2 linked regions of the Arabidopsis thaliana genome follow. The protein of the gene in region 1 interacts with the protein of each later gene in a pairwise test. Each region holds a gene or a part of one and is shown on either strand. Other genes may lie near its edges.

Evidence for each region.
Region 2: the proteins of MAC5B (region 1) and NFXL1 interact in binary tests that used the Arabidopsis thaliana proteins (3 or more experiments, as listed by UniProt).

What each region holds. Positions count from the first base shown.
Region 1 is NC_003071.7:12,649,870-12,654,983, reverse strand, and holds MAC5B (CCCH-type zinc fingerfamily protein with RNA-binding domain-containing protein), read right to left. Parts: upstream 3,159-5,114; 5' UTR 2,974-3,158; coding exon 2,869-2,973; intron 2,474-2,868; coding exon 2,204-2,473; intron 2,084-2,203; coding exon 1,860-2,083; intron 1,679-1,859; coding exon 826-1,678; 3' UTR 648-825; downstream 1-647. Other genes in the region: AT2G29590 (Thioesterase superfamily protein), read left to right, coding at 1-136, 239-382; PCNA2 (proliferating cell nuclear antigen 2), read left to right, coding at 3,386-3,704, 4,193-4,345, 4,429-4,526, 4,621-4,845.
Region 2 is NC_003070.9:3,332,902-3,339,871, reverse strand, and holds NFXL1 (NF-X-like 1), read left to right. Parts: upstream 1-1,787; 5' UTR 1,788-1,927; intron 1,928-2,313; 5' UTR 2,314-2,380; coding exon 2,381-5,935; coding exon of another isoform or gene 5,936-5,947; exon of another isoform or gene 5,948-6,008; coding exon 6,009-6,083; 3' UTR 6,084-6,277; downstream 6,278-6,970. Other genes in the region: AT1G10180 (LOW protein: exocyst complex component-like protein), read left to right, coding at 44-550, 637-825, 997-1,133, 1,224-1,491. UniProt on the Arabidopsis thaliana protein: Mediates E2-dependent ubiquitination. Confers resistance to osmotic stress such as high salinity. Promotes H(2)O(2) production. Negative regulator of some defense-related genes via an salicylic acid (SA)-dependent signaling pathway.

The sequences.
Region 1 (5,114 bases):
AGACAAGAATTTAGCAAATGGTGCGATTGCAAATCTTGTGGATGAAGTTGGTGGAGCACTTGTACATGGCGAAGGCTTACCTATGAGTGTTTCAGTGGACATGTCTATTGCATTCCTTTCAAAAGCTAAGCTTGGTGTAAGTCTGCTCAAGTCTTTTTTCAATCTGTACTTTGGGACTGTTTGTTTGCTATAGAAATGGATTGAGAGATATGATATTGAAATGGAAATGAATTTTCAGGAGGAGTTGGAGATAACGTCGAGATTGTTAGGAGAGAGAGGAGGTTATAAAGGAACAATCGTTGTAGTCAGAAACAAGATGACCGGGGAGATTATAGCGGAAGGTCGACATTCTATGTTTGGTAGACAAGCTAGTAAGCTCTGAGTCCAACTTTTAAGTCTTGTATCACTGTAATGTCTGTTTTCAATAATAAGATTATGGTTAGGTAAATTTGGTTAGGTCCTTTGTTCTTTCTGGTTGTGAATCTAAAACCTTGGTACATAGCTTATAAAGATCAAACCATTCAGTAACTGTGATAGTTATGTTGATGAGGATGGTATGATATGTCTCATCTATACAACATTGAAAGCTGTTTAAAGAGGAATTTGAAGAAGCTTCAAGAGAATTTTGTTGTCTATGGTTTCAGCTTGGATTTAATGTGTATGTTGGATTATCAAAAATTCAAAATTATAATGTCAACAAGAGTCTACAACTACTGTAACAATTCTCTTCTCTTACATTGGAAACTAATTTTAAATAGCAGAAGCAAAAAGTCAAAATGTAGATATGGCCGGAAATTCGCACTACATTTTAACTGACAACGGTTCCTATTGAGACGAACCAGTAGTAACAGCAGCATCAGCAGATTGCTGAGAGGATCCTGAAGGTGCTGCAGACACAGAGTCAGGTGGTGGAGCAGAGACTGAACTTGGATGTGGAGGATTAGGCCTTGAACCGGGACCTGGTTGTTGTGGGTAATCATGATCAGCTTGTTGTGAATGGCCATGGTGGTAAGGAGGATACTGCTGGTAAGGTGGTTGCATATATCCTCCATATGATGGTGGCGGGTATGGCTGGTGCTGAGGATAGTGGCCATGTGGTGGCATAGTGTAAGAAGAAGAAGAAGCTCCTCTGTTGTCACTGGTGCTTGAACCGCTTTCTTTGGACGAACTAACTGCACCCATTCTCTGAGGGTCCATTGATGGGTAAAATGGTCTGTCTTGATGAGGAGGTTGTGGTGGTGGTGGGTGCATATAGTATTGTAGCATTGGTGGAGGTTGATTCTGTTGCTGAGATATAACTGCTCGAGGTAGTAAACCACTATGAGCCACACTGCCCTGTTGGTTAGAACCATCTTGATCAGGTTTGGGAACCTGAGGTCTTCCCCATGTGAGTTTTAGCCTCTGACCGTTGACAACTAGCCTGTTACTGAGCTCTTCTGCAGCTTTCTCTGCTCCTTCTCGGGTTGTGTAAGTGACAAACGCACATGCTTTCTCAGCCAAGATTCTGATGGATTCGATTTCTCCATGGGCGTAGAATTGATCACGAATGTCTTGCTCAAGGACTCTCGAGTTTAGCCCACCAACATAAAGCGTTCTGATGCTTTGATCCTCTGGAGATTCCAAAGTACCCATCTCCCCAGCCTTGCCAAGTAACTTCAACGCAACTGGATCGTTTACACTGCAGGAAGTGAAGAATAAGATGAGAAAACAGTTCCAATATCACCAAAATAACAGCCAGTTTACGCACACAAACTGATGTATTTTTCATAACTCTCTTTCATGATATACCAAAGCAAGAAATTGAGGAGTAACTCAATATTATCATACTCAAACAAAATGAAAGTTAGAAGTATGCTTACCCATAATAACGGTCTTTAATGTTCTGCTGGGATAACTCTCCTGTTTCAGGCATCTCATGACGGTATGGACACTCATCACCTCTTGTACACTCTCCCCTAATGAAGAAACTACAAATATGAGCTCGGTTCCTTTTGTAGTAAGGCGTTGTCCTTTGAAGCATACGAATGGTATCGTTGGGCCGAATCTTCCCAAAAGAAGACTCATAATCTAGTCCAGCTCTCGTCTACACAAGAAAACAAAACCATTTCAATAGGCCATTACAAAGTAGAGAAACTGTATAGCCAAATCTCAAACCAATCAATACTCAAATAATATAACTAGTTAGAACGCAGAGTCACCATACCTTTCGATCATGCTCTTCAGCGAAAAACTCTCGGTTCACATCACTTTTTGGGATAGAATCATGAGTACTAATGTTGAGCGCCGTGTCTCTGACCTGAACTGGAAGACCATACTCAAGATCCAAGAGACAAACTTGGCACACATTCTTCAACTTGCAACATGTCTGACAAACTTCAGTCTTCTTGTATCTCGCATCCCTACCAGGTCGCCATCTGAAAACCGTGAAAGGCCGGGTACAGATCTTACACTCTTTATCGTAATTCGCCTTTGTCTACATACCAAACAACAACAATAAATCAATCAATCAATCAAACATGAAGCTGCACATCACTACCAGACATAACATGAGACAGTATTCAATGAATTACATTCCCTCTAAGCAAATTTGATCAGAACAAACCAAAGATATCATTTTGAACTACAACTCCATGAATTCTGATTTTTACCAAAGGTTATGAATTGTATATTAAATCGCTTAAACCCTAAAATCTCAAATCACTAAAATTGCAGCTTCAACACTAAGAAACATAAAAGCATTAAACAAGCTCGAAAATGGACAAATGAAAGGAGATCTTAATAAAGACACATGAATGTTAAAAAAAAATCTAGCTAAAGGCAAGGAAATCGAATTTGTTTGAGGAGAAACATAGGAAGCGAAGAATATACCATTCTCACGTAAGGATTGTCACCGAGACAAGACTCACAGATGATTGGGAAATCAGAACGTTCCCATCCATCAGCCTCGTGATCTCTCAGTATTCTATGCGCCATTTCCTAATTCTCTTCCTTCCTCAATGATTTCTGGATTTCTTCTTCAGTCTCGAACACGAAGATTACCTTGAAGAGCAGATTTGCTCTCGTTTCGATTTTTTCGGGAATCTTTAATATTACAGCTGCTGTTGGGCCGAATGTTTGTTTGGCCCAATTTAAACCCATGAAATAAGAAAGCTTAAAGTGATGGTGGTGTACTGAAATAAACAATACGGACTCACACAGATGATAATTCATCGTCACACACAGGCGGGAACAAAAATACCCTAAAATCGCTAAATGGCGCCACAAAATCTCAGCTTATAATATCACTTCCCGCTAACAATTGCAATCTCCTCCCAGAAATTTCAACAGCTCTAAAAACCCTAACCGTTTCGATTCACACTCTAACCTTTCGATAATTTCCCAGAAGATGTTGGAGCTTCGTTTAGTTCAAGGTTCTCTACTGAAGAAGGTTCTAGAAGCGGTCAAAGATCTGGTGAACGATGCGAACTTCGACTGTTCGACCACAGGGTTCTCGCTTCAAGCTATGGATTCGAGCCATGTCGCGTTGGTGTCTCTTTTGCTTAGATCTGAAGGTTTCGAGCACTATAGATGCGATAGGAACCTCTCTATGGGAATGAATCTTGGTAATATGTCTAAGATGCTGAAATGTGCTGGAAATGATGATATCATCACCATCAAAGCTGATGATGGTAGCGACACTGTTACTTTCATGTTTGAGAGTCCCAGTAAGTTCTTCAAATCGATTTTTGTTTGTTAGGGCTTTGGTTTTGTTGTCAATGTTGATGCTATTGGTGACCTGATTCTGTGTTTATAGGTTTGATTTGCCAGAAGCTAGAATATGATTGTAGAGAATGATTCAGTCCATTTCTTGAAAGCTTTAGTTTGTAAGAGATGAAAGAGAAGATAAAATCTATGTTAATAGAGGGTTTTTGGTTTGGAATAAGGTTTGATATGGCTTTGTTTTTGTGTAGTTAATGATGTTATTAGTGATCTGAACTGTTATTTATAGGTTTCATTTGACAGAAACTAGAACTTGCTTGATGAGAATGAGTCCTTCCATTTTTGTTTTCAGAATAGGTATAGTCTCTAGCTTAAAGACTATAGTTTGAAAGTGAATAGAGTTTCTTGATTTAGTGAAAGTTAACAGAGGAACTTTGTTTGATATTGACTATGTGGTGTTAATCTCATTATTTAAATGGTGTTGATGATGCAGCACAAGACAAGATTGCAGATTTTGAGATGAAGCTGATGGATATCGACAGTGAGCATTTAGGAATTCCTGATGCTGAGTACCACTCGATTGTGAGAATGCCTTCTGGTGAATTTTCCAGGATATGCAAAGATCTCAGTAGCATTGGTGACACAGGTAAATGAACTGTTTGTTTATTTGGTGTATCACTGCGAGGATTCTCTAATCATGATTCTGGTTTTGATGTTATGATTTTGCAGTTGTGATCTCGGTAACAAAAGAAGGGGTGAAGTTTTCAACAGCAGGTGATATCGGGACAGCAAACATTGTGCTCAGGCAGAATACTACCGTCGACAAAGTATGAACAATCACTAGTCATCTAGAGAGATTTGTTTAATAATCTGTCCAATACAATGTTGAAGTGACCTTATGTTTGTATGTGTGTTTTGCAGCCTGAAGATGCTATTGTGATAGAGATGAACGAGCCTGTTTCGCTTTCATTTGCATTGAGGTACATGAACTCCTTCACAAAGGCTACTCCATTGTCGGAAACTGTGACCATCAGTTTGTCCTCTGAGTTACCGGTCGTGGTGGAGTACAAGGTGGCTGAGATGGGTTACATTCGATACTATCTGGCGCCTAAGATTGAAGAAGAAGAAGACACCAAACCAGAATAATGATGAATGTTTGATAGTCTTCGTTCGAGTCCTTTGTTGAAATGTCTGTCTTGATTCAGTTGTTTTCTGGATTTACTATCTTAAGGCAATGCTAAACTAGATAATCGTATGATGTTTGTCTTTCTGAAATTTGGAAAAGCTTGTTTATAACACTTTTCATCTGTTTGTTAAACATTGAAGAAAAAGAAGACACGAAGCCCTAAAACACGTTTGTTTGTGGCTTCTGCAACCTCACGAACTAGTGTTGATTGATGTTTTTGGATGCTTTT
Region 2 (6,970 bases), on another chromosome or scaffold:
TTCTGTTGGCATAAATTTATAGAAGCTTTATTTGTTCTTTCAGGACATACTTGAGCAGTTAACACACCTAGTTGTGTTACACTTTGGTGAGAGTGTACTAACGAGGATATTGCAACTATATGATAAATACATCGACTTTCTGATCAAAGCCTTGCCTGGCCATTCAGATGAGGATGGTCTACCTGAGCTCCAAGATAATACCGTACTCGCTAGAGCTGAGACAGATTCTGAGCAGCTTGCGCTTCTTGGAGCTGCGTTTACAATACTTGACGAACTTTTACCAAGATCACTTGTTAAAGTCTGGAAACTCCAGATTGAAAATGGCGGAGGAGAAGGTGAGAATAGTGCCGCTCTAAACAGTAGTGCTGCACCGGAACTGAAAGAATGGAAACGCCATATGGTTCAAGCATTTGACAAACTCAGAAACTACTTCTGTCTGCAGTTTGTCTTGAGCTTCATCTACTCTAGGGAAGGACTAACGCGATTAGACGCACTCATTTATTTAACCGAAACACCAGATGACTTGCATCTGCCGTCTTTACCGTTTCAGGTCTCGCCCTCTTCTTTGATCTAGTTTTATAGTTCCCAGTTTATAAGTTTTAGCACACAGAATCATCTGTGTCTGTTCTTATGCAGGCATTGTTTTCTAAGCTACAACAGTTGGCCATAATTGCTGGGGATGTTCTGCTTGGTAAAGAGAAGCTGCAAAAGATTCTACTAGCGAGATTAACAGAGACGGTTATAATCTGGCTATCAAACGAGCAGGAGTTTTGGAGTGCATTCGAGGACGAGTCAAATCCACTTCAGCCATCTGGATTGCAACAGGTAGAAACACTCTCTTTCACCACTCTTATATACCTCAGCTATTCTCTGATCTCAGGCTCAGCAGTCAAAGATTGAAAATTTGAAATGGGAAACAATTGAAACTTGATGTTGAAGTTCATTTCTTGAGAAGATTGGGGTTGAAAGTTGAAGTTTTGTTGTCACGTGTTGCAGTTGATCCTCGACATGAACTTCACAGTGGAGATAGCCAGGTTTGCAGGTTATCCATTTAAAGTAGTTCAGAACCATGCATCAGTGGTGATCAATCGAGCCATCAACATATTCTCGGAAAGAGGCATCAACCCACAAAGGTAATTGAAACAACACTCTTTTTGAATTTTCTTCCAACTCGGTCTCAACATAACGAATTACCTAAAAAGTGTATTATTCTCTTTCACCAGCTCACTCCCGAAGACAGAGTGGTTCACAGAAGCCGCCAAGTCAGCTATCAACAGGCTACTCATGGGGTCTGAGGATGCTTCAGAACCGGAAGAATATGAGTGTGAAGAAGAAGAAGAAGACGATCATCACATCGTCCTCCCTGAGATGGATGACGACTCAGATTCCGAAGATACATCTTCACTCTCCACAGTGGACTCGTTCGAGTCATTTGCCTCTGCAAGCATGGCTGACCTAGAGAGTCCATCTTTCACCGATTCTGAGTCTTGACCACTTTCTTTGTAGTTTGTATCCTGTAGTCAAGTCTCTCAAAACTCTCAAGTTAATATATATAAAGTTAACCGAAATCATCTGCAAATTAAATTACTGGTTTAGATTGGTTTAAGTCAATTAGTATAGGCCCATTGTTAGCCCATTAGGGATGAGGCGGTTCTTGAGGGTTTGTCAAGCATAAAATAATTCAGACAAGCCGGTGAAAAAGAAAAGTCGTACGCGACTCTCTCTCTCTATCTTTTATTTCCTTTGGGAGCAAGGCGGTCTATCACTTTCAGTCGCTATATATAATCTTCCTCATCGCTCCATTTTCTCCTACAGTCTCTTTCTCTCTCTCCCTGAGAAAACAAGGGAGACTAATCGGAATCTCCTGCGTATTTGATTCTTCCGGCGATTGTTTCCTTCTTTATACGCTTTCGTATATTCTTGTCAGGTACCAAACTTTTTCCCCCTCTTTGGTTGTGAGCTTCTAATCATTTGTTTTATCGTTCTCTTTGATTCAGCAATATCGAAGCCAAAATTTGTGTGTTGGTTGGTGTTGGTCACCAAAATTTCTTAGATATGATAAAATAGGGCACTTTGATTTTACCCCCTTTTTTAGATCCCAAAGAAGGAGGAATAGTTTAGGCGTCTTGCTATCAATTTTCGATTCGTTTGATTTGGCTTTAGTTAATTTCAACATCGTTGTAGCTGTGTAAGATTTTATTGTTACGTAGATTGGTTTGCTCGTATTTTCGTGTGTGGTGAATTTATCTGGGCCATCAATGTTTGACATTGCTAGAATCTGAATGTTTCTCATTTGCTTTTCTTTTTGTACAGAAGCACCATTGCTCCAACAGTGACGGGTACAGGATCTAGTTCTGTGTTTGTGGAGTCAAGGCAGAATATGAGCTTTCAAGTCAGGCGAGATAGGAGCGATGATAGGTCTCATCGATTCAATCATCAGCAAACGTGGATTCCTAGAAACTCATCTACCTCGAGCGTGGTGGTAAATGAGCCTTTGCTTCCTCCTAATACAGATAGAAATTCTGAAACCCTTGATGCTGGTTCTGCATCCCGTCCTGTTTATCTGCAAAGGCAGCATAACGCTTCTGGTCCTCCGTCCTATAACCACCACCAAAGGAGTAGTAACATTGGTCCACCTCCACCTAATCAACATAGAAGATATAATGCGCCTGATAACCAGCATCAAAGGAGTGATAACATTGGTCCACCTCAACCTAATCAACATAGAAGATATAATGCGCCTGATAACCAGCATCAAAGGAGTGATAACAGTGGTCCACCTCAACCTTATCGACATAGAAGAAATAATGCTCCTGAGAACCAGCACCAAAGGAGTGATAACATTGGTCCACCTCCACCTAATCGACAAAGAAGGAATAATGCTTCTGGAACTCTGCCAGATAATCGCCAAAGAGTTGCATCTAGGACGCGGCCTGTGAATCAGGGGAAAAGGGTAGCGAAGGAGGAGAATGTTGTGTTGACAGACCCAAACTTGCCTCAACTTGTTCAAGAGTTACAGGAGAAGCTTGTCAAGAGTTCTATTGAGTGTATGATTTGTTATGACAAGGTTGGGAGGTCTGCCAATATCTGGTCATGCTCCAGCTGTTATTCCATCTTCCATATCAACTGTATCAAGAGGTGGGCTCGAGCACCAACTTCAGTTGATTTGCTAGCTGAGAAAAACCAAGGTGATAACTGGAGATGTCCAGGTTGCCAATCTGTACAGTTGACATCATCTAAAGAGATTTCCTATCGGTGCTTTTGTGGAAAGAGAAGAGATCCACCGTCTGACCCATATCTCACTCCACACTCATGCGGGGAACCATGTGGGAAACCGCTGGAGAAAGAGTTTGCACCTGCTGAGACGACTGAAGAGGATCTTTGTCCTCATGTATGTGTTTTGCAGTGTCATCCTGGTCCATGTCCTCCCTGTAAAGCCTTTGCTCCACCTCGTAGCTGTCCTTGTGGGAAAAAGATGGTTACTACTAGATGCTCCGAGCGGAGATCTGATCTTGTTTGTGGGCAGCGTTGCGATAAGCTTCTTAGTTGCGGGCGTCATCAATGTGAAAGGACATGTCATGTTGGCCCTTGTGATCCTTGTCAGGTACTGGTAAATGCCACATGTTTCTGCAAGAAAAAAGTGGAGACTGTCATTTGCGGTGATATGAATGTGAAGGGGGAATTGAAAGCAGAAGATGGTGTCTATTCATGCAGTTTTAACTGTGGGAAGCCTCTTGGATGTGGTAATCATTTCTGTTCCGAGGTATGCCATCCTGGACCTTGCGGGGACTGTGACTTACTGCCCAGTAGAGTTAAGACATGCTATTGTGGGAATACGCGTTTAGAAGAACAGATCAGGCAGAGTTGCTTGGACCCAATTCCTTCTTGTTCAAATGTATGTAGGAAGCTTCTTCCTTGTAGGTTACATACTTGCAATGAGATGTGCCATGCAGGTGATTGCCCGCCTTGTTTAGTCCAAGTTAACCAGAAATGCCGGTGTGGGTCAACATCCAGGGCTGTGGAATGCTACATAACAACTTCCTCAGAGGCAGAGAAGTTTGTGTGCGCTAAGCCATGTGGACGTAAGAAGAACTGTGGGAGACATAGATGTAGCGAGCGTTGCTGCCCTCTCTTGAACGGGAAGAAGAATGATTTATCTGGCGATTGGGACCCACATGTCTGCCAAATACCTTGTCAGAAGAAGCTAAGGTGTGGGCAGCATTCCTGTGAATCTTTATGTCACAGTGGACATTGCCCTCCTTGTCTCGAGATGATCTTCACTGATCTTACATGTGCTTGTGGAAGAACTTCGATTCCTCCTCCACTATCATGTGGGACACCTGTTCCTAGCTGTCAGCTTCCATGCCCGATTCCTCAGCCTTGTGGCCATTCTGATACGCATGGATGCCATTTTGGAGATTGTCCTCCTTGTTCTACCCCTGTGGAAAAGAAGTGCGTTGGTGGTCATGTGGTTCTCAGAAACATACCCTGTGGGTTGAAAGACATTAGATGTACCAAGATTTGTGGAAAGACGAGGCGTTGTGGCATGCATGCTTGTGCCAGAACTTGTCACCCGGAGCCTTGTGACAGCTTCAATGAATCTGAAGCAGGTATGCGTGTTACGTGTAGACAGAAATGTGGTGCTCCTAGAACAGATTGCAGACACACTTGTGCAGCACTCTGCCATCCTTCTGCGCCTTGCCCTGACCTAAGATGTGAATTTTCAGTCACAATTACTTGTTCATGTGGTCGTATAACCGCTACGGTCCCTTGTGATGCTGGGGGAAGAAGTGCCAACGGTTCTAATGTTTACTGTGCGGCCTATGATGAAGCCTCTGTTTTACAGAAGCTTCCAGCTCCACTTCAGCCTGTTGAATCGAGCGGAAACCGTATCCCCCTCGGGCAGAGAAAGCTTTCGTGTGATGATGAGTGTGCGAAGCTGGAGCGTAAGCGGGTTCTTCAAGATGCATTTGATATAACTCCCCCAAATCTGGAGGCATTACATTTCAGCGAGAATTCTGCTATGACAGAGATTATTTCAGACCTTTATAGGCGTGATCCAAAGTGGGTACTGGCTGTTGAAGAGCGCTGCAAGTTCTTGGTACTTGGGAAAGCAAGAGGAAGCACAAGTGCCCTTAAGGTCCATATCTTCTGCCCGATGCAGAAGGATAAACGAGACACGGTTCGACTTATAGCTGAGAGGTGGAAACTTGGTGTTAGCAACGCAGGGTGGGAGCCAAAACGGTTTACAGTGGTTCACGTAACAGCAAAATCGAAACCGCCAACAAGGATCATTGGAGCTAGGGGTGGTGCTATCTCGATAGGAGGGCCACACCCACCGTTCTATGATTCGCTGGTGGATATGGATCCTGGACTTGTGGTTTCTTTTCTGGATCTTCCGAGAGAGGCGAATATCAGCGCCTTGGTACTGAGATTTGGGGGTGAATGTGAGCTTGTTTGGCTGAATGACAAGAATGCTTTAGCGGTGTTCCACGACCATGCCCGAGCTGCCACTGCCATGAGGAGGCTTGAGCACGGTTCAGTATATCATGGAGCTGTGGTTGTCCAGAGCGGCGGGCAATCTCCATCACTTAATAATGTATGGGGAAAATTACCTGGCAGCTCGGCGTGGGATGTTGACAAAGGAAATCCATGGAGGAGAGCTGTGATTCAGGAGAGTGATGACTCCTGGGGAGCTGAAGATTCCCCCATTGGAGGATCATCTACAGATGCTCAAGCCTCTGCGCTGAGATCAGCAAAGAGCAACTCTCCAATTGTTACCTCGGTTAACCGTTGGAGTGTTTTAGAGCCCAAGAAGGCCAGCACATCCACTTTGGAGCCAATTGCTCAGATAGAAGAGAGCAGTAGTTCAAAAACTACCGGTAAACAACCGGTGGAAGGCTCCGGTGAAGAAGTGGTGGATGACTGGGAGAAGGTATGTGAGTGAGAGCATATACCCAACGACTGTGATTGGTTTTCAACTTCTTTGTGATGTATGAAAACGGCAGATTGTTCAGACGTATATAATGGAGACTGTATGCGTGTGCGTATGCTGTGATGAGTCCATTTCAAAGCTTAGGTGATAGCCAACGACGTGCCGTTTTTGTTTTGGCATCTTTGGCGTGCGTTTGGTTTATTTATGTAGTAACTAAAAAAACATCCCATTGTTCAGTAACTTCAGTTATTGTGAAACGGCATGTTTGTAACGCTTTTTTTTTTCTCTTTTATTCTTGACATAATGATGCAACACTAAGGTTGGTTATTCATTCATTAGTACTCTTTATCTTGAAATCATTTTCTCCTCTGCAATTAACGGTTAGGTGCTGAAATCATTAGGAATAGTGAAAAAAAAACTCTTTTATGTGTCATATTCTTTTTTTTTTTTTTTTTTTTTTTTTTTTCATAAATTTCCAATAAAACGAAAAAGGTTACAAGGCTTAGAAGGCCATACAACAGGCACGCAGGCCCAGAGAAGGCACGCAGGCCCAACAACTAACAGAACAAGAAAAAACCGAGAACCTGAATCCCAGCGACGAGGCCCAGAGAGAACCCAAGGACGACAAGATCTCAGCAAAACAAAAGGAGAACAACGCTGAGCCAACAGAGGACCTGCAAAATAAACTCCACATTAACCAGAGACAGGTGAACGCTGAAACACTCCAAACCACGAGGCAAGAAGAGAAGAGCCTGGCTGAGAGACGACGCGGGAAGACCGAGACAGAGGGTCCAACCTAGCCCTAACGATAAGCTGAATTTCCTTGATGATCAAATGAGCTGGTCTAACAGAATTTGAGTGAATGCGAAGATTGCGCTCACGCCAAATGAAATAGACAGAAGCGTGGAAAAGGAGCTTGGTGATGAGCGTGATGTTCCTGTCTCGAGAAGCAGTCAAGGTCCAAAGCAGACAGTGCATAAACTGAGGAGGCGGATTGAGGTTTAAGGCTCTCATGAAGAAGCTCCAAATCTCTGA